Kluyveromyces lactis: one gene and its partners. The protein of the gene in region 5 interacts with the protein of the main gene of each other region in a biochemical or structural test. Links are inferred from orthologs where the notes say so. Each region holds a gene or a part of one and is shown on either strand. Other genes may lie near its edges. The genes, in order: ASH1, SSD1, RVS167, PAH1, PHO85, SHS1 and VIP1.

The links.
Region 1: of the proteins of PHO85 (region 5) and ASH1, one has a biochemical effect on the other in vitro, tested with the Saccharomyces cerevisiae proteins (2 studies listed by BioGRID). The link is inferred for Kluyveromyces lactis from reciprocal best matches to the Saccharomyces cerevisiae genes PHO85 and ASH1.
Region 2: of the proteins of PHO85 (region 5) and SSD1, one has a biochemical effect on the other in vitro, tested with the Saccharomyces cerevisiae proteins (2 studies listed by BioGRID). The link is inferred for Kluyveromyces lactis from reciprocal best matches to the Saccharomyces cerevisiae genes PHO85 and SSD1.
Region 3: of the proteins of PHO85 (region 5) and RVS167, one has a biochemical effect on the other in vitro, tested with the Saccharomyces cerevisiae proteins (2 studies listed by BioGRID). The link is inferred for Kluyveromyces lactis from reciprocal best matches to the Saccharomyces cerevisiae genes PHO85 and RVS167.
Region 4: of the proteins of PHO85 (region 5) and PAH1, one has a biochemical effect on the other in vitro, tested with the Saccharomyces cerevisiae proteins (9 studies listed by BioGRID). The link is inferred for Kluyveromyces lactis from reciprocal best matches to the Saccharomyces cerevisiae genes PHO85 and PAH1.
Region 6: of the proteins of PHO85 (region 5) and SHS1, one has a biochemical effect on the other in vitro, tested with the Saccharomyces cerevisiae proteins (2 studies listed by BioGRID). The link is inferred for Kluyveromyces lactis from reciprocal best matches to the Saccharomyces cerevisiae genes PHO85 and SHS1.
Region 7: of the proteins of PHO85 (region 5) and VIP1, one has a biochemical effect on the other in vitro, tested with the Saccharomyces cerevisiae proteins (2 studies listed by BioGRID). The link is inferred for Kluyveromyces lactis from reciprocal best matches to the Saccharomyces cerevisiae genes PHO85 and VIP1.

Annotation. Positions count from the first base shown.
Region 1 is NC_006038.1:232,169-235,435, forward strand, and holds ASH1 (DNA-binding transcription repressor ASH1), read left to right. Parts: upstream 1-1,384; coding exon 1,385-2,767; downstream 2,768-3,267. Other genes in the region: MTR2 (Mtr2p), read right to left, coding at 1-242. UniProt on the Saccharomyces cerevisiae protein: Component of the RPD3C(L) histone deacetylase complex (HDAC). Responsible for the deacetylation of lysine residues on the N-terminal part of the core histones (H2A, H2B, H3 and H4).
Region 2 is NC_006039.1:905,574-909,647, reverse strand, and holds the start of SSD1 (mRNA-binding translational repressor SSD1), read right to left. Parts: upstream 2,801-4,074; coding exon 1-2,800. Other genes in the region: PUT2 (1-pyrroline-5-carboxylate dehydrogenase), read right to left, coding at 4,030-4,074. UniProt on the Saccharomyces cerevisiae protein: Can suppress the lethality due to deletion of SIT4, and partially the defects due to BCY1 disruption. Is implicated in the control of the cell cycle G1 phase.
Region 3 is NC_006041.1:280,307-283,329, reverse strand, and holds RVS167 (amphiphysin), read right to left. Parts: upstream 1,788-3,023; coding exon 501-1,787; downstream 1-500. Other genes in the region: CIN10 (Cin10p), read left to right, coding at 2,743-3,023. UniProt on the Saccharomyces cerevisiae protein: Component of a cytoskeletal structure that is required for the formation of endocytic vesicles at the plasma membrane level.
Region 4 is NC_006040.1:831,419-835,689, reverse strand, and holds PAH1 (phosphatidate phosphatase PAH1), read left to right. Parts: upstream 1-1,471; coding exon 1,472-3,856; downstream 3,857-4,271. Other genes in the region: MME1 (Mme1p), read left to right, coding at 1-786. UniProt on the Saccharomyces cerevisiae protein: Mg(2+)-dependent phosphatidate (PA) phosphatase which catalyzes the dephosphorylation of PA to yield diacylglycerol. Required for de novo lipid synthesis and formation of lipid droplets.
Region 5 is NC_006040.1:1,022,395-1,025,415, reverse strand, and holds PHO85 (cyclin-dependent serine/threonine-protein kinase PHO85), read left to right. Parts: upstream 1-1,471; coding exon 1,472-1,488; intron 1,489-1,623; coding exon 1,624-2,521; downstream 2,522-3,021. Other genes in the region: TRM44 (tRNA (uracil) methyltransferase), read right to left, coding at 1-826; KLLA0_D11968g (uncharacterized protein), read right to left, coding at 2,634-3,021.
Region 6 is NC_006042.1:1,938,219-1,941,844, forward strand, and holds SHS1 (septin SHS1), read left to right. Parts: upstream 1-1,470; coding exon 1,471-3,126; downstream 3,127-3,626. Other genes in the region: GCR2 (Gcr2p), read right to left, coding at 1-618. UniProt on the Saccharomyces cerevisiae protein: Septins are GTPases involved in cytokinesis that assemble early in the cell cycle as a patch at the incipient bud site and form a ring approximately 15 minutes before bud emergence, which transforms into an hour-glass shaped collar of cortical filaments that spans both sides of the mother-bud neck.
Region 7 is NC_006038.1:251,105-255,352, reverse strand, and holds the start of VIP1 (inositol polyphosphate kinase VIP1), read left to right. Parts: upstream 1-1,448; coding exon 1,449-4,248. Other genes in the region: rRNA-processing protein UTP21, read right to left, coding at 1-906. UniProt on the Saccharomyces cerevisiae protein: Bifunctional inositol kinase that acts in concert with the IP6K kinases to synthesize the diphosphate group-containing inositol pyrophosphates diphosphoinositol pentakisphosphate, PP-InsP5, and bis-diphosphoinositol tetrakisphosphate, (PP)2-InsP4.

The DNA of each region.
Region 1 (3,267 bases), on a different chromosome or scaffold from region 5:
CCGGTACCTGGTATCACATGGAAATCAACCGCGGTGATAACGTGCTGCGTCAGTACCACTCCAGTTTGCCATGCCTGAAGGAATTGCACTGCCTGTCCAAACGGTTGGGAATTGAATATTATTTTGCACTGATGTGGGTTAAATAGCTGTAGGAATTGTTCCAACTTTGCTGGATCGGGCTCATCTAGATGAGCCAGTACTTTCTTCACAAAAGTCTCCACGATTTGAGGTTGACGATTCATTTTGATAATATCAGTTGATGATGCTTTAAAGAGATTTGCTGATTTTTATTGAAGGCTTTGATAACGTTTACCTTAATACTATTAATTTCAACATCGATCAAAAATTTTATTATTAAATCTATGGAAAGAAGTCTTCTTCTCTCCAAATTTCATCTTGGGTAAATTCAATTGACTAGCTTCATCAAATGCGGGTAACAAACAATATATGTACGCGTTGTAATTTCCTTGATGATTTTAGGTAGACCCTGATTTCAAAATCTCTCAAATGAACACATGCAAACACAACTCTAAATGCTGATCGACTCGAGCAAATATCTAGCGTACATATTGTAGAGTCGGATTTTTCTTTTCCTTATGTCTCTTTTGCCAGCACTTTTGTCAAGCTGCCTCGCGCACTAGTATTCTTTTTTTTTTAAATTCTATTTTCTGCTTGCATATGTGAAGAAAGTGTAAACATGAAAAACCCAGCATCGAAATGTAAATCCATAATACCAGCCGAACAGATACCAAGACTTGGTGTGGAAAAATAAACATAAACAGAGATCTGAAAGCTAAGTGAACATCGCTGCGCGATTCCATTACATGATATATGATTTTGTAAACAATGGTTGACTAGTTTTGATCAATTTTATAGCCGGTAAGAGAAAAAGAAGTATATCTTTTGTCTTTCCCTTTAGTTTTGCAGGCATAGAACAAGTATGAATTCTTTTGCCAAATCGAAAAAAATTCGGTAAACCCTCTGCGGGTTTGGCGCAGGTATTCTTTGTTTACACTTTTTTCTGTTTCATCGATATATGGATTCCTACTAAGTTTGCGGGACTGAACTGATTGAAATTGGTTCAGTATCCCTAGAGTATATAAACCAGAATCCAAATCTGGGTTTCCATGGGACAATTCTTTCAGATCGATTGGAAAGATAATCCCCTTATTTTTACTGAATTAGGTATCGTGGTTGATATATGACAGTTCTAGCTAATCCTTATAAGGCCTGATATATTTCTTCACTCTTCAAACACTGGTCCTGACAACTGTGTTACACATCAATAATTTACTTCAATTAACACCGTAACTTGTTCCCCATTATAGAGCATCGAATCAGCTCATTTCCCATCGCTTCGACCTTTTCACTATTCAAGCTAACGATGTCCACTATTTCGAACCCTTTACCATTCACCAATCCTCACGCCGAGCAAAAGTTCTACGCAAGAAGAAAAAGATCCTTTGATGATCTATTATTGCCATCTTTAAGTACCAGTTTGAACGCCCCAATGACATTAGAAGAATCGCCATATTTCTTTGACGCCCGGAAAAAATCTAAAACGGCGCCAGCCTCACCTTCTGGATTCGTACAAATCACGCCTACTACATCACCAGTGTCCGCTTCATCTAATTCTTCCATATGGAGACAGACAGTATGTGAGGGAAGCAGCATTAGCAGCAACAGCAGTAACAATATTGGAAAATCAACTCAACTGCCTTCCTGTTCACAACTACAGAATGAGGTTGCGCAACCCTCGCAACCAGCACTACAACCATTAAAGCATCTAAAGTTATTGGCACATCCTAAAATACAAGAGTTTTCGTACCTCTATCCAGACACTTGTGCCTCCACGCCTCTATGGAGGCAAAACTTAACAGAGTGGTGTAAGGAAACTAATTACACTCAGTACCAAAACATTACAGATCAGGTATCTCAAGCTAATCCAAGAGCTGGTAATTTTACTCATGGATTAAATATTTTAGCCGATGCTGCTAGAATATCATCGATCAATACTTCACCAGATGAATTCTATCAACTTTCAAACACTTCAAGCTCCAGCAAAGTACTGGTAACCCCACCAAGTAGTCCTCCCAGACAATTCACTTCTATGATCAGCGAATCATTAGTTAAAGCGGTAAAGAAGAACCGTTCCTCAAAACATAAGAAGACCAACAGTTTTAAAGCAAGAAAACTGAAGAAGATGCTGGATCAACGCATATTGCTTACATATGAAGACAAATTCGAATCACAAAAGTCGGTATTTAAGGCTAATCCTGCACCACCAAAGACCCCTCCACAAAAGAAGATTACACTATCCACAACTCCAAAATCTCTTCAATCTCCCCAACAGAGATTTCATCCTATTGTGATCAACAGCGTGGAGGATTTCGGCGAAAAGACTTCGGCGAACTCCAACTCAGAAGACGACACCGACCAAGAGCTAGTCCAAACATCTCCCAAAAGCTCTCCAACACAAAGGCGTAACTCTCATAGATTTTGCGTTTCATGTCACATTACAGATTCCCCGTGTTGGAGACCTTCTTGGTCTAAAAGCAAACAAGATCAGCTTTGTAATTCTTGTGGGCTCCGTTATAAGAAGACCCATACAAGATGCACCAATGAAACTTGCCGTAAAATACCTTCAAAAGGTGAATTGACACTTATGAAATCAAACAAGCCAGTTTCGATTGAGGACGCTGACGGAAATACTGATTACAAAATAGCATGTTTGTTCTGCGGTCACGCCGTTGCTACTGACGAATAGGGCAGAAAAGCCTGATAAAAAAACCAACCTTCCTTGCATAATTAACTGATCCCAACTTTCAACGGAGCTTTTTACCTTCTAATATTGCATTTATAAATACTTACTTCTCTTTTCCCTTGTTTGTCCGGATAATATTTCCACTATTCCCTTTCCCTTCAATTCTAACTAATTTGATTAATATAATGATATAATCTAAACATATATTCTTCCTATAATTTATCTAATGTAGCGTAAATTAATATTTTCACACTTCTGATCTTTGAGCATCAATATCATAGGTTGATATTGATGACTGGCACTTAGTAGCTGCTTCAGACCTCTTCATAAAGTGAATGATTTTTTCTTTCTTTTCATTAATATGCCATTTACGTCAAGATCGATGTATGTTCGCTATCTGAAAATGAAAAAAAAAAAAAAAAAAAAAAAAAAAAACTTCATCAAAAATATAAATAACTGGAACCGTCAATATCTCATCACTTGCTTTCGTTTTGCTTTAATAT
Region 2 (4,074 bases), on a different chromosome or scaffold from region 5:
ATCTTCTCAAAGGAGCTGTGAAATGTGTGAACAATGGCAAATTCAATGAATAATGCGCAAATTGGTCAGGTTCGACTTTACCAGATATGAAATATTTAGCCGGTGTTAAGGTCTTGGATAAAAATAACTCAACCGCCATTCTTGTAGTGTTATTATCTATGGCAAGAATTGAATTCAAAACTGATTCAGAACTTGTTATATCCATCTCAACGCCAAGTTTTTCAACTTTCTTTTGGAACGTTTTCAATTTGGTAGAAATTGGTTCTGGTTGTCTTCTCAAGAAAGCAACATCTCCCAGGGAAGTGAACAATCGAGTAGCAACGGTATTATTCACTTTACGCTCTATTTCCGATAAAAGGGTCAAAGCTTTAGAACGTTGTAAAATATTCAAATCAACTTTAACCTTCTCGTCATCGAGAGATTCCAAAAGGGGCAAAGTCCTGTATAAATCAGCATTTTTGGAGTTAAGCCTACAGCGGTAAAATTCTTTAGCCACTGCCTCAAGTTTCTCAACAAACTTTGAGCCCGAAGCTGAAGATCTCTCCAATTCTTGATTAAGCCTGTCATGTGTCAATGAGGTGTTTGGCTTGACACGAGTCTCGCCTATCCACGTTGTAACAATATCAAAGTTTTCAGGCTTCAGTTCATATATTATACTGACAGTGTTTGACAGTTTCTCGGGCTGCAAACTTAAGAATTCATTCAGAGCGGCTGGAAGCAAACCAACAGTCTTCTGTGGCATGAAGACAGCGCTAGATCTTTTCCTAGCTCTTCTATCCAAAGATGAACCTTCTTCAATATGGACTGTTACATCAACAACATGAAATCCTAATTCAAGGTTACCGTTGTCAGTGTCTCTTAAATGGACCGCATAATCAGAAACTTCACCAGTTTCTGAAATGGCAATGACATTTTCATAAGTACGCCTTGTTTTGCTTTGCTCTTCTGAAAGCAATACAGGTGCAAAACTATCTCTCTCCTTTGTACGGTCCTGAGGGTCTAAATATTCATCACTTAAGAAATTATTGTCTCTCAAAATTGAATCAATCTCAGTTTTTGGATCGTTCACATCGCCTAATTGCGAGACAAGAGTACCAAAGGGATGCAAAGAAGTGATTGGCCAGCGCTTGATGCTAGCAACGAAAACTTTATTCAGATACTTATCAGCATTTTCGACGAAGTCCTTAGGCGCCTGTTCTATCGAAATGGCAATTAGAGGAACTTTCTTATCGGTAGGTTTGAACCAAACAATTTTCGGCTTATTTGGCTTATTCACATCGTTGTTCGCTTGTTGAGATGGTCTTAATAGACCCAAAGTACCGCTAAATAGTTGGCCCGGAATACGGTCTAACACCGCGACTACGTGTCCAGCGTACAAAGGCCTGTAATCATCATTAATCTCTTCTTCCTCGACCAATAATAAAGATTGACCTTCAACCTCTACGTCATCATTCTTCTTTTGAGTTGGGCGCTGCTTCAATGATCCTCTTCTTTTGATGGAGCCAGATGAAGATCCCAATGTAGCATCTGATCCTTTATTTTCACTAGAGCATGATGCGCTTGTAACAATACTTGTTGAAGCATCATTATGGTAATCATCTTTAGAGTCTAGTGGAATAATATCTTGTTGAGTGCTTGCATCTTTTCTTCTCTTCTTCTCTTCCTTTTCCTTTTTCGATTCCCAGACATCGTCAACCATCAAAAGCTCAACGGCAACAAGATCACCTTCCAAAGCTCTATTACGATCCTTCGAACCACAAATGAAAATATCGGCGTCCAACACACCGTTGGTCGAAACCCAGGCATCCGATCTATTTTTCTTGTTGACCCGTAGAATACCTGCAACCAATTTGCCTTCTTCAATTAGTTGAGGAATGTTAGCTTGTGGCAAATAGGGTGCGAAAAGTGATTTACGGCCATTGGAGTTTTGCTGGCCATTTGCCGAGGTAAAACTGTGGGAAGAAGCATTGGATCCACGTGATTTATGACCTGGTTGGAAGACAGGTGGTGGTTCCAAACCTGGGTGGCCTGAATATTCTCTTGAATGCGTTCTAGAGTGATGAAATGGCGATACCTGCTGTTGCTGTTGTTGCAACCTCCAATTACCGTCGATACCTTCATTTTTCGAATTAGTGCGACGATGCGGGGTTCCAACGGGTATGAAATCATCATTGTTTTCCTTTTGGTTCAACTTAGCAGGTGGAAACTGGAATGATCTATTAGGGGACATATTTGACTGAGTTCTACGGTGACCTAGATTCTTAGACTCGGTTGTTGGAGATCCAGGGAATTTGAAGCTCGTTTGTTCATTTTCATCGACTAACTTAGGGATATCTTGAACATTGTCAATTTTGATCTGAGGTCCACTTTCTCTTTTTGCTTGTTCTTCTGCAGCGGCTCTCTTGGCTTCATTCAAACCAATGGATTGTCTTCTGGAATGTCCATATACGCTCGTCTGAGAGCCAGTTCTTCTGTGTCCACCTGCAGCAGGATTTTGTTTGTGATCGTTATTGTTGTAGAATGCAGAACCACTTCTAGAATGAGACCTGCCTTTTCTATTACCTGAATTTGGGGACAGTTGATACTGCACGTTGGGTGGTTGCGGTAAAAAGTTGGCGGCAGATTGTCCCTGTACGCCTAAGTTTCCGCCACTACTATTATTCTCGATCTGTTTTTGTAGAGTAAACTGCTCAATCATTAAATTCGTAAGTTCAGAAGGAGATTTCCTATGAGCAATGTGAATTTGCTTCGGAGTACCCTTACCACCGGTAGTCTGAACAAATCTTTCTTGTTCTGGCATAATAACTTTAGGTTAATTTTGCCCTTTAGTACTGATATTGTTGTAAATATTATATTTTGGTATCCAGGTCACAGATTCTATAGTTACTATGATTCCGAGATAATCCGCTAAGATTCCGCCAATAAATTCAAGACGTAGTTCTATCAATCAGTGCCAAAAACTATAAGTGATTGAGCCGTTCAAAGGAAAATTTAACTAAAAGCCAATAATGTATATCGTCAAAGAAAATAAAAAGTCCCAATTTCAAATTAGCAATAAAACGGGAAGATCGACAGAATGACAAAAAGAGATTTCAAAAGGAGGGGAGAAGCTATTTCACTTGAGGATAAGTCAAATTGTAAAACGTACAATGTTTGGTGAAAGCACAAGTAAATGATATCACTGATGACAAAGCTTTCGAAAACCTTGTATCACACGGTATTGCAAAACTCCAAAAAAAAAGAAGGGAACTAGAAAGAAATATTCAAGCCCGAGTAAAACGAAGATAGATAATCCTAAGAAAACAGAAAAAAACACACTCGCAGAGAGAAAATAACCCTCTATAAACTATAATTGATAGCTTTGCAGGACTTTGAAGCTGTTGGTCCGTTCTGTTTTGGGGGATCAAATTTGGCTTTACTCCTTAAATTGATCTTTTCTTCCTTCTAAATTCAACTTCTTCAAAAATTCATTTTATAAAATCAGCTATTTCCACTTTTAGCAGTTTCTAAAAAAAATCTTTTCTGTTACCCTCCACTTGCAAAAAGTCAAATTCGGAACAAGTCAGTTAGATTGGACGCCAAAGTCAAGAAGTATGAAAAGTCCGTCCATAGCTCAACGAAACATTATGTTGAACGATATCGTTCGTCAGTTCAACAAGTCTATTGCAAGTAGAATATTAAAAAATTGTCACTAATTAGCATGTTTTTTCATATTATTTATTATATTCTATCTAAAACGAGGTGGATCCACACTGTTTTACATGTAATAATATATGGAGTATTTTTAGCCTCACAAGTAATGTCACCCGGACATGTGCCTGTTTGAAAGACAAGGCATCCTCATATACAATGAAGCTGCTTGAGAGATCTTGGGCATGCACCATCGAAAGTAGCACTTACAGCGTGACTGTCGTATACATGTCCAAGGTTGTCTCCGTTTCGCTAAAAAAAGACTTTATTTCTTGAAGAGTTTAGGTATTTGTACATTTATATAGATTGGGAATTTAAAGTTCATGCAGGTCGATATACTTATTCGTAATTGGATGGATATCTGTAGTCTGTCAATTCATAATA
Region 3 (3,023 bases), on a different chromosome or scaffold from region 5:
GTGTGCACTGCAGTGGGAGCAGTTGTGATGGTGGGAGCTAATTGTTGCATTGAAATACATAGCTGGTTTTAAGTATATATAGAGACGTATCTCTTTCTGTTCCTGCAGTAAGGCTTAGTGTACTTTCTCATGGAATTCTTTTCCATCTTACCTGCTGTGTGCTTGGAAACCAGTGTGATTTTAGTGGCTGGCTCTGCTACTGGTGATGTGTAGAAATATAGGGGCATGTAGACAGGGGTTCTGACGAACCCCTTTCGTCTCCATGAAGCAATGTCTGACTATTGCCAGGTGACCAAATATCGTCAATTCCGTCGATAGTGATGTGCATTCTGTATCCTTTAAAAGCTATGGGGCATTCTTGAATTAAACAAGGTTAGAGTATATAGTAACTACAGGCTAGGAGAGCTTTTCTTTTGCTTTATTATTTTTTTCAAGTTCAGTCTATACACAGCAGAAAGGGAATGGAAAGTGACCAAGAGATTAGTTTTCTTTTGTTTTCATTATTGTTTCGATAGTTCGACGTAGTTCCCAGGGAATACACCTTGGACGCCATTGTAGACACCGACCCACCATCCTGCTGCATCGGAACGATCCACGACTTGGATTATGGCACCAGCAGGGAACGTCAAATCACCTTCGGCTTGGGCCGTGTAATCGTATAAAGCGGTACATGTCTCCACTCCTGCACTAGTGGGAGGAGTGTATGATGCCTGGGTCGCAGTGGTGGGCACCGAATTGTATCCTGCGATACCAGCGGCACCTGCAACACCTCCGATTGGATACTGTTGTTGCTGTTGCGGCTGTTGTAGTTTTGAGTCATAGCCCATCTGTTGTGGCTGTTCAGGCTGACCGTATGTTTGGCCGTATGCGGGTGGGCTCATTGGACTTCCAGGACTTGAGTCGTCAGTAGCACCATATCTTCTTCTGGTTAAATCTAGTTTGGCCTTCGAGTATCCCAGCTTGAAATGAGTAATGGTTAGTGCATCTGTTTGCTCTTCAATGTTGCCTCTTTTAGCTTGGAATGCCTCCAAGATGTCAGTATCCAGGTCAAAGTATGGGATCTTCATGTCTTGGAACCTGTTGTATAAGGTGTAGAAGATATTCAATTGCATGTAGTAGAATGAAACAAATAATGGTTTCACGAACTCTGATTCCAATTGGAAAAGTATAGGTAATTCAGTTTTCAACATATCGTTGTAGTAGTCGTATTCTTGTTGCATTACGGCGACTTGAGCCTCGGCTTTATATTTTTTCTCCTCATCCTTTGGCGTTGGATTCTGTTTTTGTTCATATTTGTTGTACGTGTTCAAGCTCCTATCCAAATCTAGCTTTTTATGGTTTCTCTTGGTGGACATCTTTCTAATGTAATTAATAATGTTCAAAAGCTCTTGTGCTGGTTTAACAATTTTCTCGTCAATCAGAGTTAGATCAGGCTTTAAAGTAGCTTGCAACTCAGAAACAATTGCACTGTACTGCTCACTCGCTTCAATACCTTCTGGATTGTCTTCTGGCACAGCGGCATTGGGATCGGACATCTTACCACTAATTGGCTTGAAAATTTCCGACATTGCCTTAGAAAATCCAATTTGATGCTCTAGCATACCGTTCACGGCATTGAAATATCTCTTTGACTCATCGCTCAACTTCTTCGTTTCCGATTCCAATTCCTTGAAACGACGATCAGCATCCTCATAAACAGGATCAACAGTCTGCTGACCCATGTTCAGTTTTTGCCTAAAAGACTGGGGTGCTCTGGCGACAGCTTTTGTAAAACCTTTGAACGACATGACTCTCTAGGGGGAAAATATATTGATTGTTATTTGCTTTCTTATTCGCTGTATACGCTCTAAACTTCAAAACTTAACGCTTTTTATCTGTTTAAATTCACGTTCTTCGTGTTTTTTATTTGAGTGCTCTCTCTCTTTGCCCTTATAATAAATTAACTTTCTTTCCCTCGACAAAGACGCTTGTTTGTCCTTCGAAAGATTAATTTAAGTTCAGATTTGCTCTAACAGACAACTCGTTGACACGCTGATTAGATATATATACCGCTTCAGTTGCCTTTCAAGTTTGCCCCTTTTACATGCCCTTCCAAAGTGATGAAATTGAAATTGTCCAAAGTTTGAATTTTTTTGAAATTGTATTGTGCATCGGCAAAAGCGTACAGAAAGGAAAAAGGCTTGGCTTAGTTCATCGGAAATTGGCCCAATGCATTTGAGCAGTAGGCTTGTGAAAAGTTAAGGGGATGGTCTATACTGTTATTAACGCCCATTGGTTCTCCTATTGGTTGTAATTTGAGTGCGTATCACTCAAATATGCTGCAAGCTTGACCTTGTTTTTTTTTAGGCCTGCTGACTCTAGGCTAATAGTCAATGTACCCTTCGGTTGAGAATAGTTGTGGAGCAAGGTACATAAAGTGCAGCAAGATTCTTGGTAGGATATAAGTTAGGTATATTTTTACATAACGGTTGTTTCGTTATGGATATTACAAGTAGTTTCGAGAAGTTACTGTCATTGGAGATGTTGTTTGTCCTCTTTTCATTTTAATGTCTTAATATAGTAAATGACACTTTAAATTACCGAATGGGATTTAAACCATTTTCTGACTCCAAGGCTCGAACAAAGATTTACAAACTTTAAACACTTGCTGTAATATCCCACCGATCTGTTCATAGAGCGGCGTTCTTACAATCCGTTGGACAGCAAAATCCAGCATATATTCTCTTAACCTGGTACCGTATTATGGTGGACGATATTGTACGATCTTCCTCACCGCAGCGAGATAGCAGTGTCGAAGATGTGTATTCGGATTTGTACTCCACTTTCTCTCAGATGACCACCACCACTGCAAATGATATTGAACAACGACCATACCCATTCACATGGAGGACGGGTATTATGTTTGTTAGTTCGACAATTGGTGGGATGCTTTTCGGTTACGATACTGGTGTAATTTCTGGGGTTTTAATAGCAATGAATCCAAAGGATTTAAACTTTCATAGTTTGGAAATTTGGCAAAAGGA
Region 4 (4,271 bases), about 190 kb from region 5:
CTGGAGGAAGGGTTGCGCAAGGGTTTATACGGAGGTTACTCGGGTGCAATGCTCGGATCCTTCCCCAGCGCGGCAATTTTCTTTGCTACTTACGAGTACACCAAAAGAAAAATGATTGGTGAATGGGGAATAAATGAAACTTTCTCTCACTTAACTGCAGGGTTCCTTGGTGATTTCATTAGTAGTTTCGTGTATGTGCCCAGTGAAGTGTTAAAGACCAGATTACAATTGCAAGGCCGTTATAACAACCCGTTTTTCCGCAGCGGCTATAATTACAAAAACCTCACAGATGCCGTCACAACCATTGTGAGGCGAGAAGGATGGCCAACTTTATTCTTTGGTTATAAAGCAACCTTGAGTCGGGATCTACCGTTTTCTGGGTTACAATTTGCATTTTATGAGAAATTTAGACAACTTGCATTCGCAGTAGAGAATAAAACGTTTGATGAAGATTTATCTCTGAGTAACGAAATAATTACCGGTGCTGCTGCAGGTGGTCTTGCTGGTATCATAACAACTCCATTAGATGTTGTAAAGACAAGAATCCAGACACAGCTACCAGATATCCCTGAAAATAGTTCTCAGAATTTAAAGCAGCAAACGTTGACAAATTCCATTACGAAAGGCATGATGACCGTTTACAAGACAGAAGGTCTCGCTGGATTATTCAGCGGTGTTGGACCAAGATTTATTTGGACAAGTATACAAAGTAGTATCATGTTGCTATTATATCAAGTTGCATTAAAAACCTTGGACAGTAAGCTTTCAGATGAAAAGAAACTTTAACACCTGACAAACTATCCCCACCATCTTTATGAATCTCGCTTCGACAAATCACAACTGTTTATTCAACTGTATCACTATTCCTGTACAAAATTGCTGCTCTCATCAATAAAATGAACTCGTCGCTCAATTGCAAGTGATTGCGCGCTTTACACATTTTAATCAGTATTATCTATCTTTACGAATCATTAGAGATAAACTACTCGGTTCCTTTTCTCATCTGCTGGTGATTTTCCCAAGAATACACCTCGTAGCTAAGCTTAACATAAGGACGTACTGAACATAGTCTCCCTTTAAGAAATCCTTGTATATACATTTTCCATATTTCTTATTATTAAAGACATTCTTATAAGACGCCTTTGCTGGGTTATAATTGCAACTGTATTGCCTGTTCACCTGGCGATCACTCTTCAAATTATAAATCCATCTACCTCATTGAATTGTTCAACATCTCTATTCTTCCTTTTCCTGCATACTTTAATGTTTAGAATAAACGTTGGAAAATGTATGTAATAAAATGAAAAAGTGTAAACGATGTTATTTAAAGAAATGAAGCTAATATTGAAATGTCACAAAACGGGTATAGGTTAATTGGGGAAAGATAACTTCAAAACGCGCCTTTGCAGATAGTCTGATAAACTAGACGACACAGAGGCTTTGTTCTGACCATCCGCGATATTCGAAATAGATGCAATACGTGGGCAGAGCTTTTGACTCTGTATCGAAGACATGGTCTTCGATCAATCCAGCAACATTATCCGGAGCAATAGATGTTATAGTGGTAGAGCACCCTGATGGCGAGTTGGCATGCTCGCCATTTCATGTTAGGTTTGGTAAGTTTCAGATCTTAAAACCATCTCAGAAGAAGGTAGAGGTCTTGGTTAACGGACAATCAACGGACATCCCAATGAAGCTTGGAGATTCTGGTGAGGCTTATTTCGTGTTTGAGACTTTAGCTGACTTGGAAGGTATCCCAGACGAATTGATATCTTCGCCTGTTGTTAGCGCTGCCAGTAGTCCTGAGAGCAAGCCAACGACAAAGGATGATGCCCTTGAAGAACCCGACTTTTTAGATATCAATGATTCAAAGATTGAGAGACCAACTACACCGACACCAATCCAAAGAATTACTAAAACGCTAACACAGAAACAGATACCATCCACTGTTGATAATAATGGAGATCTATTACTTGATATTGAAGGTTATAAAACGAGTAAAAATAAAGTAAACGACACTGATGAATTGTTAAAACAGCTGTTGTACGATGAACTTGGAGAAGATGTAGACTTGTCAGAGTTTGTGAAGGAGGATGAAAAGGGAAACATTCGGATAGTGAACCCAACAGATCCATGTTGGGCTACTTCTCCTCCCAATTCTCCACCTATGACATCGTCGGACTCCTTGTATTCCGAGCATCAATCGGTCCTCGGTTACTCATCAAATGAAGGAACACCATCCTTTAGCACCGATAACAGTAGAGTTGAAGTCCCATCGGCTGCAACTGCAACAACACACTTTATCAAAACTATCAGATTAACGTCCAAACAGTTGAAATGTTTAGATTTGTCGAATGGTGAAAACGATTTAACATTCTCGGTAGATAAGGGACGAGCAATTATCACAGCAAAACTTTTCTATTGGAAGTGGGACGATCCAATTGTGATTTCCGATATTGACGGTACAATTACTAAATCTGATGCCTTGGGTCACGTCCTAACCATGATTGGTAAAGATTGGACTCATCCTGGCGTTGCGAAGCTTTTTACAGAAATCAGAGGGAACGGCTATAACATCATGTATTTAACTGCCAGGACGGCAGGACAATCTGATTCCACAAGATCTTACCTAAGAAGTATTGTACAAAATGGTTGTACATTACCCATTGGGCCGGTTATTCTCTCGCCAGATAGAACAATGGCAGCATTGCGAAGGGAAGTTATTCTAAAGAAACCTGAAGTGTTCAAAATCGCATGTTTAAAAGACATGAAGGCATTGTATTTCCCAGAATCTAATAACCGAAAAGATGATGCTGATGAGATGCCAACTCCTTTTATTGCTGGTTTTGGCAATCGTATCACAGATGCCTTGTCGTATAGAACCGTTGGTATTCCAAGTTCTCGTATTTTCACTATCAACCCTGATGGGGAAGTACATATGGAATTACTAGAGCTAGCAGGATACAAAAGTTCCTACATCCATATTAATGAACTTGTAGACCATTTCTTCCCGCCTGTCAAAAAGTACCCATTTGTCGCTGAAGATGCTCGGAGTATTTCAACAACTCCGGGTTCGCCGTATGGAACAAACATAATGCATGATGAAAAATCATTCTATCGAGCCAATGATGAGAAGTATACCGACGTAAATTACTGGCGAGAACCAATTCCCGACCTTGATGAACTCTCTGATCTAAGCAACGATTCTGAGAAGGCAACCTCTCCATCGAAAGAAATTTACAACGAAGGTATTAGGAACAGTACAACCAATGGTACTGCTAACCAGACTAACAAAAATAGATTGTCTGTGCATGAGCCTCGGGAAGGCAATGACACGGAACTGTTGTTGACACCTCGGAGAAAAAGTGATCCTGATAATATTGGACAAAGGATGTACCTGAACCTGGGATCGCCGTTATCATCTCCTGTCCTCAAGGTACAAGACTCTGATCTCGATATGAATACTAATTCACCTTACAATAATGGATATTCTAATAATTCTGAACTATCCCAAAAGAACCAGCAGCCTTTGAAAAGACATTCATCTAGTGAAAATAGTATTTTGACTTTTGATCATCTTTCTGCCCGCACGCCTTCGACGCTAGAAGTCCAACCGGTTAATGTATATAACGATGGATCGGGACCAGTAATGGGTCAACTGCAGTCGCAAACAAGCCGTAGAAATACTAATTCATCGAATTCAAACAATAACTCTTTTGATAAGGAAATACCAAGCGATGAAAAAGGACATAATCCGGATCAACATTTCTCTGAACAAGAATCTTTAACAACAGATCAAGGTTCCGAAAACATCTCGGATGAATATGAAGATGAATTTGATGAAGACGAGTTTTGACTATTTTTCAAGGAACTACAAATACAGTCCATCAGGATTATACAGACATTATGTACCTCAGTGCAGAACATCATGAATTTAATGACGGCATGAGTTGAAAAGCACGAGAGTAAAAATGCCCAAGAATATTGCTTGCAATACCCCCAGTTTTGAACTGTTACTATGTTGGGAGTCGGATTAACATTTCCTCATTCATTCAAAGTACCTAGTCACTCGTATTTAGAAATAATATAAACTTCAAATCGGAATGACCCATATATGTAAAAAATTTCTAACCTAGTTTGACAATCTTCCTATCCAGCTGATGGAGTAATTTCAATATTTAGTAATGAAATCGCTTACACCTGTTGGTAAAATTTTGACGGAGATTGATTTCTACATTTTTATTTACTTCTATGTCTTGTCATGTCGCTGG
Region 5 (3,021 bases):
AGAAAGCTGCAATGGCGATATCTTCAAAGACATGTTTCTTTGGATCAGTACTTTCCGCCCAGTTATCCACCAAGAACTTTGAGTATTTCTTCTTCAAATGGATATACTGGTCCTGGAACAACACTTTATCCACGACAACGTCATGCATTACCCGTTTCGCATACCCATCTTTGACACCTTTCGAATGCTTGTATGCTGTTTGTAATAACCTGAAAGCAGTTCTTACCACCCGTTGTTTTGGATCGAAAAGAAGCTCTTTTTGCCCTGCGAAAGGGATATAATGCACCGATAGCTGGTGATCATGCAATAGAATCCCTACTGCAGCCACTTGTGGGATATAAAACGGACATAACTCAGCATTATCAAAATGTGGGATGTAAATTACTAAAGAGGTTGAAGCATCTGAGTTGGAATTCATAACCAAACACGTCTGATTAATGATAGCATCCTTGAATGGATTCCTCGGAACAATCCTCCTAACAAATTGGAACTTTGTGGTAACATCAGCCAACGCTATCGGTACAGATCTCGGTGCTAGATCATCGATGTTTACTTTCAATATACCCTCATCGCTTCCCAACGCGATGTCTTTCTTCTCTGATTTCACACATGAACCAGACTCTAAGTCGTATTCATTGTCTATAAGCATATCTGCACGTAGAATAACAGTCGAGTTTACATTAGGCTGCCTTATCACATTTAGCATAGCTTGTTCGAAATGTGATTTATCGAAGTCGACAGGTTCCGCTGTCGAATATAAAGATTGCCATTCTGGTCCCAAAATACTGGATTTCTCCACGGTATAATGAAGCGTATTCGAGGTCATATCAAACTTACGTCAACTCTACCTGTGCACAGTCTATATGGTTCTCTATATCCTGGTATTCCATCGAGTTCTTCGAGTCTGCGTTGAAACTGCTTATTAGTTGATGAATCGATGCCCTCTTTAAATTTTTCACTTCGAACGTTACTCATGCTCTAAAGGCACCAGGAATTCGAAGCAACATACAAGATATCTTCCTGCCTTTAGCCATATAACCACTTGGAAGTTGTTCAACATGAATATTATTATTTACTACTGTAAATGAATGGATAAGATTTCCAGGTATTAAAGCGTAATTGTGTATTTACTCCTGTCTAATATTAGAAGATCTTCAAGTAGACTTTTGTCACTGGCATTATAATTAGCAAGTACAGGGGAAAGAAGAGTTTTGAAATGGTACGCATATATAATTAGGTAGTAAACTATCTGAGATGGACGCCACAACTGCCAAACCTCAAATATTTCTGTCCTCTTCTAAGTTACTTCCTTCTGTATCCACTATTTTATTCTAGATAACACCATTCTTAAATATTTGAAGATTTCAATTCCTATTTGAATCATTATCTCTTGAACAGATGTAAAAAGAGGATCCGATAATGGTTATATAGCTCTCAGGACCATTCCAAGGATCATCAATAAACATAAACTATGGTGGCACCATCTCAGTATGCAGTTTTGTGAATATTTGATACTGGCAGCGAGGAGTACAAAGCAGATGAGTACTTCTCCTTACCACTATAACTCTGACTTTTATACTAACGCAGCAATCGTTTGTCCCCTCTACTACGCTATGAAACCAGATTCAAGCAACTTGAAAAGGTTGGTAACGGTACGTATGCTACCGTGTACAAAGGATTGAATAAGACGACTGGTGTATACGTTGCTTTGAAAGAAGTGAAATTGGATAGCGAAGAAGGAACTCCGTCAACGGCCATTAGGGAGATATCGTTGATGAAAGAGTTGAAACATGATAACATCGTGAGGCTATTCGATGTGATTCATACTGAGAATAAGTTGACGTTGGTGTTTGAATTCATGGATAATGACCTTAAGAAGTTCATGGACAATAGAAACAAGGGAAATTCTCATAAGGGCTTAGAGATGGATTTGGTGAAATATTTCCAATGGCAGTTGTTACAAGGTGTAGCGTTTTGCCATGAGAACAGGATCTTGCATCGTGATTTGAAACCTCAGAACTTGTTGATCAATAACAGAGGTCAATTGAAACTTGGTGATTTTGGGTTGGCTCGTGCATTTGGTATCCCAGTTAACACTTTCAGCAGTGAAGTGGTGACTCTTTGGTATAGGGCTCCTGATGTGTTGATGGGGTCAAGAAACTATTGCACTTCAATCGATATTTGGTCATGCGGATGTATCTTGGCTGAAATGATTATGGGGAAACCGTTATTCCCTGGTTCCAACGATGAGGAACAGTTGAAACTCATATTCGATACGATGGGTACTCCAGTGGAGCAGACATGGCCGCAAGTGACTCAATTGGCTAAATACAATCCACTTTTGCCTCCACATATGCCTCGTGATTTGAAACAGCTATTACAAAACAATACGGAGGAAGTGTTGGACGATAATGTAGTGGATCTATTGCATGGTCTATTGCAACTGAACCCAGATGCAAGACTTTCTGCAAAGGATGCCTTGAACCACCCATGGTTTGCAGAATATAACCATGCCAACTAACGATTTTAGATTTAGATAGCCTTGCTCATCTAAAGATACAAACAAACAAATAAATAAATAAATAAGTGTATAGTAATCTGTAACCATTCCTTTTACTTTTTATATTACGGATTTATTGAATTACGTTGATGCTAGGCTGTCCTCCATATTCCATAATAAGTTTCATAACATGTTTGTCCTTAACGTCGACCAAGGTTTCCCATAAGACGTCCTGAGACAATAACAATGGTCTTGTTTCTTCCAACTTGTAGAATTTATTGATGAATTTGTTCAGGACACGTATTCTCCTTCTACTAAACGCCTCTTCGTCAGTATAATCGTCTACTAATAGCAACTCATGTAACTGCTGACCAGCAGGAGTCAAATATATGTTGTTGATTAGTTCGATTAAGGGTCCATTATTATCCAAGGATTTAGAAGGTAACACCGATGAGATGTGAGTTACCAAGATAATGGCATGGAATAAATGGTTGATGTTATATTGACCTTGGTTAGTATGG
Region 6 (3,626 bases), on a different chromosome or scaffold from region 5:
TTCCAGTTTATTATCCACCTGTGATAATGAAAAGTCCGGTGAAGTGATTGTATTTACAACCGATTTACGTCTGGGGGCAAGCACGGGCGATTCCCTAGCAGACGCAGTGGTACTTTTCCCTGGCCTCCTCAACGGTGTTATTAACCCCGTTGTCTTGTCGTAGACTTTGTCGATGTTGAAAGATAATACCTGCCATAGAGGATCGTCCACGTTATCCCGTATCTTCCAGTTGTTCTCATCCAACTTCAAAAAATACCGATTGTACGGGCTCACGTCATAACTTAGCAATATCTCTTTCAATATCTGTTGAAATCGCTGAAACAATTCGATATTTGATTTGGGTACGTTCGATTGTTCATCTAAGGGTACGATTGTCACTAGAGCATCGTAAAGTTGTGAGAGACTTTGGAAATATTGCATATGACGTTCGTCCAAGGGTTTCAGCGATATAGGAGATTGCTGATTCGGACTAATCGTGGAATTCAATAGCTCGGGAAGCTCCAAGACTTCTCCGTTGGATATCAATTGGTAACCCTTGATCAAAAATACGTCGAGCTTGATCTGATGATGCATGATGCCTGTCGGACTACTATGTGAAGTGCTCCCGATATCAGACATGGCTCTTCCAGTATGTGTACGTAGCAGGGGAGGGCCGATCTTTGAAGTCCGTAACAAGCAGTTCAAAGACCTTAAGTATGCTGCCGCTTCCGCAGATTTTCTCGCTTACTGTGTATTTCTTTCTCTCTTTCTCTCTATCTTTCGTTTCGTTAAGGTGCAACATTTCCACATTGCATCACCTTATGTTCTAGCAAGAACTAAAAGCGACAAAATTGCAAAACAAAGACGCATCTCATTGAACACATAGAGCCCTTCTGCAAGGGCTAAAATCCGAAGCCTTTCATATGTAGACCAAGGCAGTACCAAAGCTAGCCGGACCTAGATCGAAGATCGTTATCAACTTATAACGTAATCCACTGACGGACATATACATTCACATCACTGAGACAGAAATATAAGTCACGTGAAGAAGTGGCGCCATATATATGTATATATGCCTTAGTTCCCCAATACATAGACTAGTTACGATATGTGGTTCATCGAACTGTAACCATTTGATGTTCCCATGTCACTGGTAACTTTTGTCCTTGCCTTAGGTATCTTTGAGTGTCTCATTTCCCATGGCTATGTTCGAGCCTTTTAATCGGTGAAAAGTTTCGAAACGGTTAATATCACGTAAAAGATATCAATTCCATATTTAAATTTAGACGAGAATGTAATTTGACTGAAACAACAACGTCTTTTGATAAAAAAAGTGTATTCTATACGTTGCAGAGCTACATTAATCAAGTGAACCATTGAACGAGACGAGTTTCAATCAATTGGATAGGAATCATTGTACTTTGGCGATTCTATTTAGAATATAATTGGAAGTGAAAAGTGAAGCCGTTTGATCTTGGAAGCAATAAAAAGATGTCCGCTAGTCCTGTATCTCAGGTATTCTCACCAAGCAACAATGGGGTCAGTGTGTTCCGTAGAAAGAAGGAGAAGAGAGGTATTACTTTCTCGATGATGTTGGTTGGTGCTTCTGGTACTGGTAAGACCACTTTCGCTAACAATTTATTGGAATCTACCATTTTCCCTCATAGATATCAACAAGATGTTCCAGCTAGCACGAATAACGAGAATGTTAAGATTATCCAACCAACTAAGGTTGTCACGTTCAATTCGATGAACGGTATTCCCAGCTACATGTCGGCATTTGATCCAGCCTCGCCGTTTTTGGAACCAGGTATCACTGTGACGTCTACTGCCCTGGAGATCACGACGAAATCTAGTGAGGATATCGATAGCGCTACCCCTGAAAAGATCAATTTCTTTCTCACCGACACCCTGGGACTGGGTGAAAACTTAAATAATGGGATCTGTTTCGATGAGATTGCTTCATATTTGGAGCAACAATTTGATTCGGTACTCGCTGAGGAGACCAGAATCAAGAGAAATCCAAGGTTCCAGGATACAAGAGTTCATGTCGCGTTATACTTTATTGAACCCACGGGACATGGGTTACGTGAATTGGATGTTGAAATTATGAAGAGACTATCCCGCTACACAAATGTTCTACCAATTGTCGCTAGAGCAGATTCGTTCACACCTGATGAATTGACTAGGTTCAAGAAGAGAATTATGGAAGACATTGATAGATTTAACGTTCCTATCTACAAATTCGAAGTTGACGAAAATGAGGATGATCTAGAAACAATTGAAGAGAACAAGGCATTAGCGAGACTTCAGCCGTTTGCTATTATCTGCGCCGACCAACGCGATAATGCTACCGGTAAATACTATCGTGAGTATCCATGGGGTAAAATTGACATCGATAATGAAAACATTTCGGACTTGAAATTGTTGAAAAGGGTTCTCTTCGGGTCCCATTTGCAAGAGTTTAAGGACACGACACAAAATCTGTTGTATGAAAACTACCGTGCTGAGAAATTGGCGTCTGTGCCAGCCTGGGACATTGAAAACAACGAAGTTATAGATACTTCTATCAATGACGAAAACAATGAGGGTAATTCTTCAGGGTTGATGAAAGGGTTGACTAGAAACAGTACAGCTCCATCCTTGTCAAATTTCGCCTCTCTAATAAATACAGGAAAGTTTAAGTCTCAACAATCACTTGCAATTCCACCTCAATCTGAAACCCCATCTACACCACGTCTAACCGGGGTAGATGAAGGAGATGAGTCTCGCGCTTCAATCTCTGCCAGTTCACAGAAATCTACTCCTGCCAATATTCAAACTTCTCCAGAAAGAACAAAGTTACGGAATATTTCCGAAAATATCCCATACATGCTTCAGCACGAGCGCATAGTAGCAAGGAAACAAAAGCTTGAAGAATTGGAGGCACAATCTGCCAAAGAGTTACAAAAGAGAATTCAAGAACTTGAAAGAAAGGCTATTGAATTGAAGATGAAGGAAAAGCTACTAAGACAAAACTCACATAGTCAATCTCAAGAATCTATCCAGACTAATACAACTAAACAAAATTCAACTTCTGGAGGTGCTTACATTAAGAAAGAGGAAACCTATAACGATTTAGCTTCGATAATCAGCAAAAAAGAATGAATTCAGTCTTGATATCTTTCTTTGGCATTTTTGTAAGTCGAAGTGTTTGGTTCCTGAAACGATTTCATATGTAATTTAAACAATATTGATTATTTTGTATATTGCAAACGGTCACGTCTAGATTGATCTGCTACCTGTTTCCAAATTTGATGAGTTTAAGATGGTGATGTAAAAATCAGAAAAATATACGTACTGTTACAGGTATATATATATATATAATATAATAATGAGTTAAGGTATTTTCGTGCCACTTATCAATAAATGGAATTTATCTGTTCAGATGACATAGTATTATGAGATAAAAAAGATTGGTGAAAAATTTATGTTCATCCAGTGCTTCAAGATAAAAAATAGCTAGTGTAACTGGAGAGAACTAAGAAAACCGAAAAATGCAAAATAATGTTCCCGATGGCAATTAAAAACATCAAGAAACAACATTCATTCAGCGACGATGAGAAAAGGCACTGGGGGAAATAATAGGAAAAGAGATTTAACCGAAT
Region 7 (4,248 bases), on a different chromosome or scaffold from region 5:
TCTTGCAACACCACCATTCACTTCCTTGTGAATGCCTTTTAACACTTGAACACGTGAGCGATGATCTAAGTCATAAAAGATCAAATCACCACTGGTTGATGCTACTGAGATATGAGAAGCACCATCCGTTCTGAAAGAGATTGAAGAAATTCTCGTCGGCGTTTTAATGGTTCTGATTTTCTTACCCTTACGCAAATTGAATAAAATAACTTCACCAGATGATGTACCAAAGGCAACGATGTCTAAAGCAGGTGCAGGTTCAGCAGTGGTGATCTCATCGGGGAACTCATCGGAAGTGTACAATTGTTTTCCGGTCCGAACGTTAAACAAGGTGAAATTAGACTTAGTCACAACGAGCAACTTGTTAACATATGTTGGTAAATGCACCAAATCAACAATATCACCACCTTGTAACTTACCAATGGTGAAATTGGTGTATAATTCAGTAGCGAATTTATCAGATGGGGAATTTTTCTTATAGATATAAACAACATTATTATCTGTAGAAGCAATCAAATATTCACCGAAAACGTTAATTTTGGTCACCACGGTATTTGGATCAGGTAATTCAATCAAATGTTCTAGCTTACCTCTCTTATAGATCCCAACTTTATTCTTAAAACTTGCATAAACGTAATGAAAATGCGCTGCCAAACAAGTAATGTCTCCCTCTGTCTCCTTATCTGAAACGAATAGCAGATGCAAATTATTGGCATCAAAGATCTGAAACGACTTACCAACAGAAGTCACAATGTAGAAGGTCGTACCTAGGGTACCAATCGCATAAGGAACTCCAGTAGATACATTACCTACAATTCTATACGGAGAAAATATTCTGGAAGCATGTTTCCTAACAGCGCCGGAAGAACCAACTCTTCGTTTCTTTAACGATCCATCCACTGTCATGATTGCTAATGCACTGTTCTGTGACTTTATGCAATCGCTTAATTAACTGAACAACAAGCGAATCCAGTAATTAGCTGCTGACGATAGGTATCTATCTCATCTCATCTCATCTCATCGCTTCTTTAAAACGTCGAGCTTCGAAATTTTCATCGCTGAAACAGAAAAAGAAATCAGAATATCACGTGACACATAAGGGGGATCAACCTGCAAATGTGATTCTTAGACTTGGATAGAGAAGATACTATGTAACTTCACCATTAGATGCCATTAGATAGTAACCATACCACAGTCTGAAATCTCACTAGCGAAACACATGGAGGTGTTGCTTAGATACTGGTCTTTACTTCAGAATTACTCACAGTTTTCTATCAAGTTTTCACTATTATCCTTCACATATAAATTTATATACAAAATTAAACACATGGGGAATAATCGTACCATGCATCCGCTTATAACAGAAATCGATTAATTGCAACGATCTACAAAATAATTTTAACTGAAGTTTCAGCATTGGTTATAATCAAATTGCAGAACTGCCAGTCATGTCTTCTCCAGGTTCAATTTCTGATGAGGGTCAAGAGGCAATCAACGGAAATACCATGCCTCCACTGTTTTTAGATTCGAATACGAAAAAGGCTATGGAATCGATCGCTCCTATCCTTGAAGGGTTCACGCCGAAGACCTCTTCTAGTGAGAATAAGTCGTTGAAGTTGCCACCTGCTGGTTTTACCTCTGATGATGATGATGAGACAAATAAGCTCGTCAGAACGCTTAGTATTTCTTCTACTGGTTCGACAGGTCGTCATATGACTCCCAGTGTCCTAGGCACCTCATTCGATAGCATGAATGGTAACAAGCTTCAAAGACTGAAAAGTAACCAAAGTGGATCAGCATCAGTTTCTGCTATTCTGGAAGGATCGCCTAGTCCATCTCCTATGCTGGAAGAACCTCATGCATTCCCCTTCATTCCGCAAGCATTAGTCTCTAATGAAGCTGTCACAACCAACACTGACGGATCAACAACTCCAAGTTCGACAAATTCTTCGAGGAAAGCTTCAACTTCCTCGTCCAAGCCTCAGCTACCAAAGATTGGTAAAATTGGTGTTTGTGCCATGGATGCGAAAGTGTTATCCAAGCCATGCAGACATATCTTAAACAGACTAATTGAACACGGTGAGTTTGAGACTATAATTTTTGGCGATAAAGTTATATTGGATGAAAGCATTGAAAACTGGCCTACTTGCGACTTTCTAATATCATTCTTTTCCAATGGGTTCCCTCTAGAAAAGGCTATCAAATATGTCAAGTTAAGAAAACCATATATCATTAATGATTTGATTATGCAAAAAGTATTGTGGGATAGAAGGTTGTGTCTCAGGTTGCTGGCGGCAAGCAACGTACCTACCCCTCCTAGATTGGAAATTACAAGAGATGGTGGTCCCAAAATTGATGATGAACTGAAATCTATGCTTGCCGAACGTGGAGTTATTGTTTCAACTGTTCAAGAACCCAACTGGAGAATGGTGGACGATGACACCTTGGAAGTTGAGGGTAAGGTGATGACCAAACCATTCGTTGAAAAACCTGTGGATGGTGAAGATCACAATATATACATCTATTATCATTCGAAAAACGGAGGCGGTGGGCGTAGATTATTCAGAAAGGTCGGTAATAAATCTTCCGAATTTGACCCTACTTTGATTCAACCTCGTACTGAAGGTTCATACATCTACGAAAAATTCATGGATACCGATAATTTCGAAGATGTGAAAGCATACACTGTAGGTGAAACTTTTTGTCATGCTGAAACCAGAAAATCCCCTGTAGTCGATGGTATTGTGCGCAGAAACACTCACGGAAAGGAAATTAGATATATTACTGAACTTTCTCCAGAAGAAAAAGAAATGGCTCGTCAAGTGTCGAAGACGTTCGCTCAAATGATCTGTGGTTTCGATTTATTACGTGTTGAGGGCAAGAGTTATGTCATTGATGTTAATGGGTTTTCATTTGTCAAAGATAACACAGAATACTATGATGCCTGTGCCAAAATTTTGAGAGATACCTTCTACAACGCCAAAAAATTGATGGACCTAGAAAAGCGGAACCTTCCTGCAATTCAAGAGGAGAAAACTCAAAAATGGGTATTTAAGGGGCTAGTTACTGTTATCCGTCATGCAGACCGTACACCAAAACAGAAACTCAAGCACTCGTTTACCTCTCCGATATTTTTGTCTTTATTGAAAGGTCACAAAGAAGAAGTAGTCATAAGAAATATCAATGACTTGCAAATTGTTCTGCAAGCACTCAAAATTGCACAAGAGGAAAATGCTGAAGATCCAGCGAAACTTGCTGTCTTAGCAAACGCTTTGGAAAAAAAAATCAGTTTTCCTGGAACTAAGATTCAATTAAAACCAGTTCTGAACAAAGACAACGAAGTGGAGAAGGTTCAATTCATTCTCAAATGGGGTGGTGAGCCAACACACTCCGCTCATTTCCAAGCTGAAGAATTAGGTGAGCAGATGAGACAAGACTTTGATTTGTTAAACAAGAACATCTTGCACAACATCAAGATATTTTCTTCTTCCGAAAGGAGGGTTCTAGTTTCGGCCCAAATATGGGCCACAGCTCTATTCGGTGCGGATGAAATTAGTAGCGACGAGATCAGTATAAGAAAAGACTTGCTAGATGACTCCAATGCAGCTAAAGACCTTATGGATAAGGTGAAAAAGAAACTAAAACCATTATTAAGAATGGGGAAGGAGGCACCACCTCAATTTGCTTGGCCTGCTAAGATGCCTGAACCTTACTTAGTCATAAAGAGAGTTGTTGATTTAATGAACTACCATAAAAAAATCATGGATCACAACTTTGCTACAAAAAACGTTGAAGAAATGCAAACATGCTGGTGCTGTGCAGAAGATTCAATGCTATTCAAGGAGCGTTGGGATAAGCTGTTCAAAGAGTTTGTTACTGTGGATAAGGTAGATCCATCCAAGATTAGTGAATTATATGATACTATGAAGTACGATGCTCTTCACAACAGACAGTTTTTAGAGCACATCTTCATGCCTGATGATGATACTGAAGTTGAAAACGAAGAGGTCTGTCATCATTCTTTGGTTGACAGGTACCCCATCAATATTTTAGCTAGAAACAACTTCAAAATCCCAGACTCTTCTAATGCCCAAATGACTAACCAATCTTCCTCTAATTCAAAAAGTTCGAATAGTGTCGGATCTCTTGGATGGGTTCTTGAAAGTGTTGAAAGCGGATCCAAATCACCCCGTTCTTCGAATTCCACATTCGATGATCCGAAGTTCATTCAATTAAGGGAATTGTTCA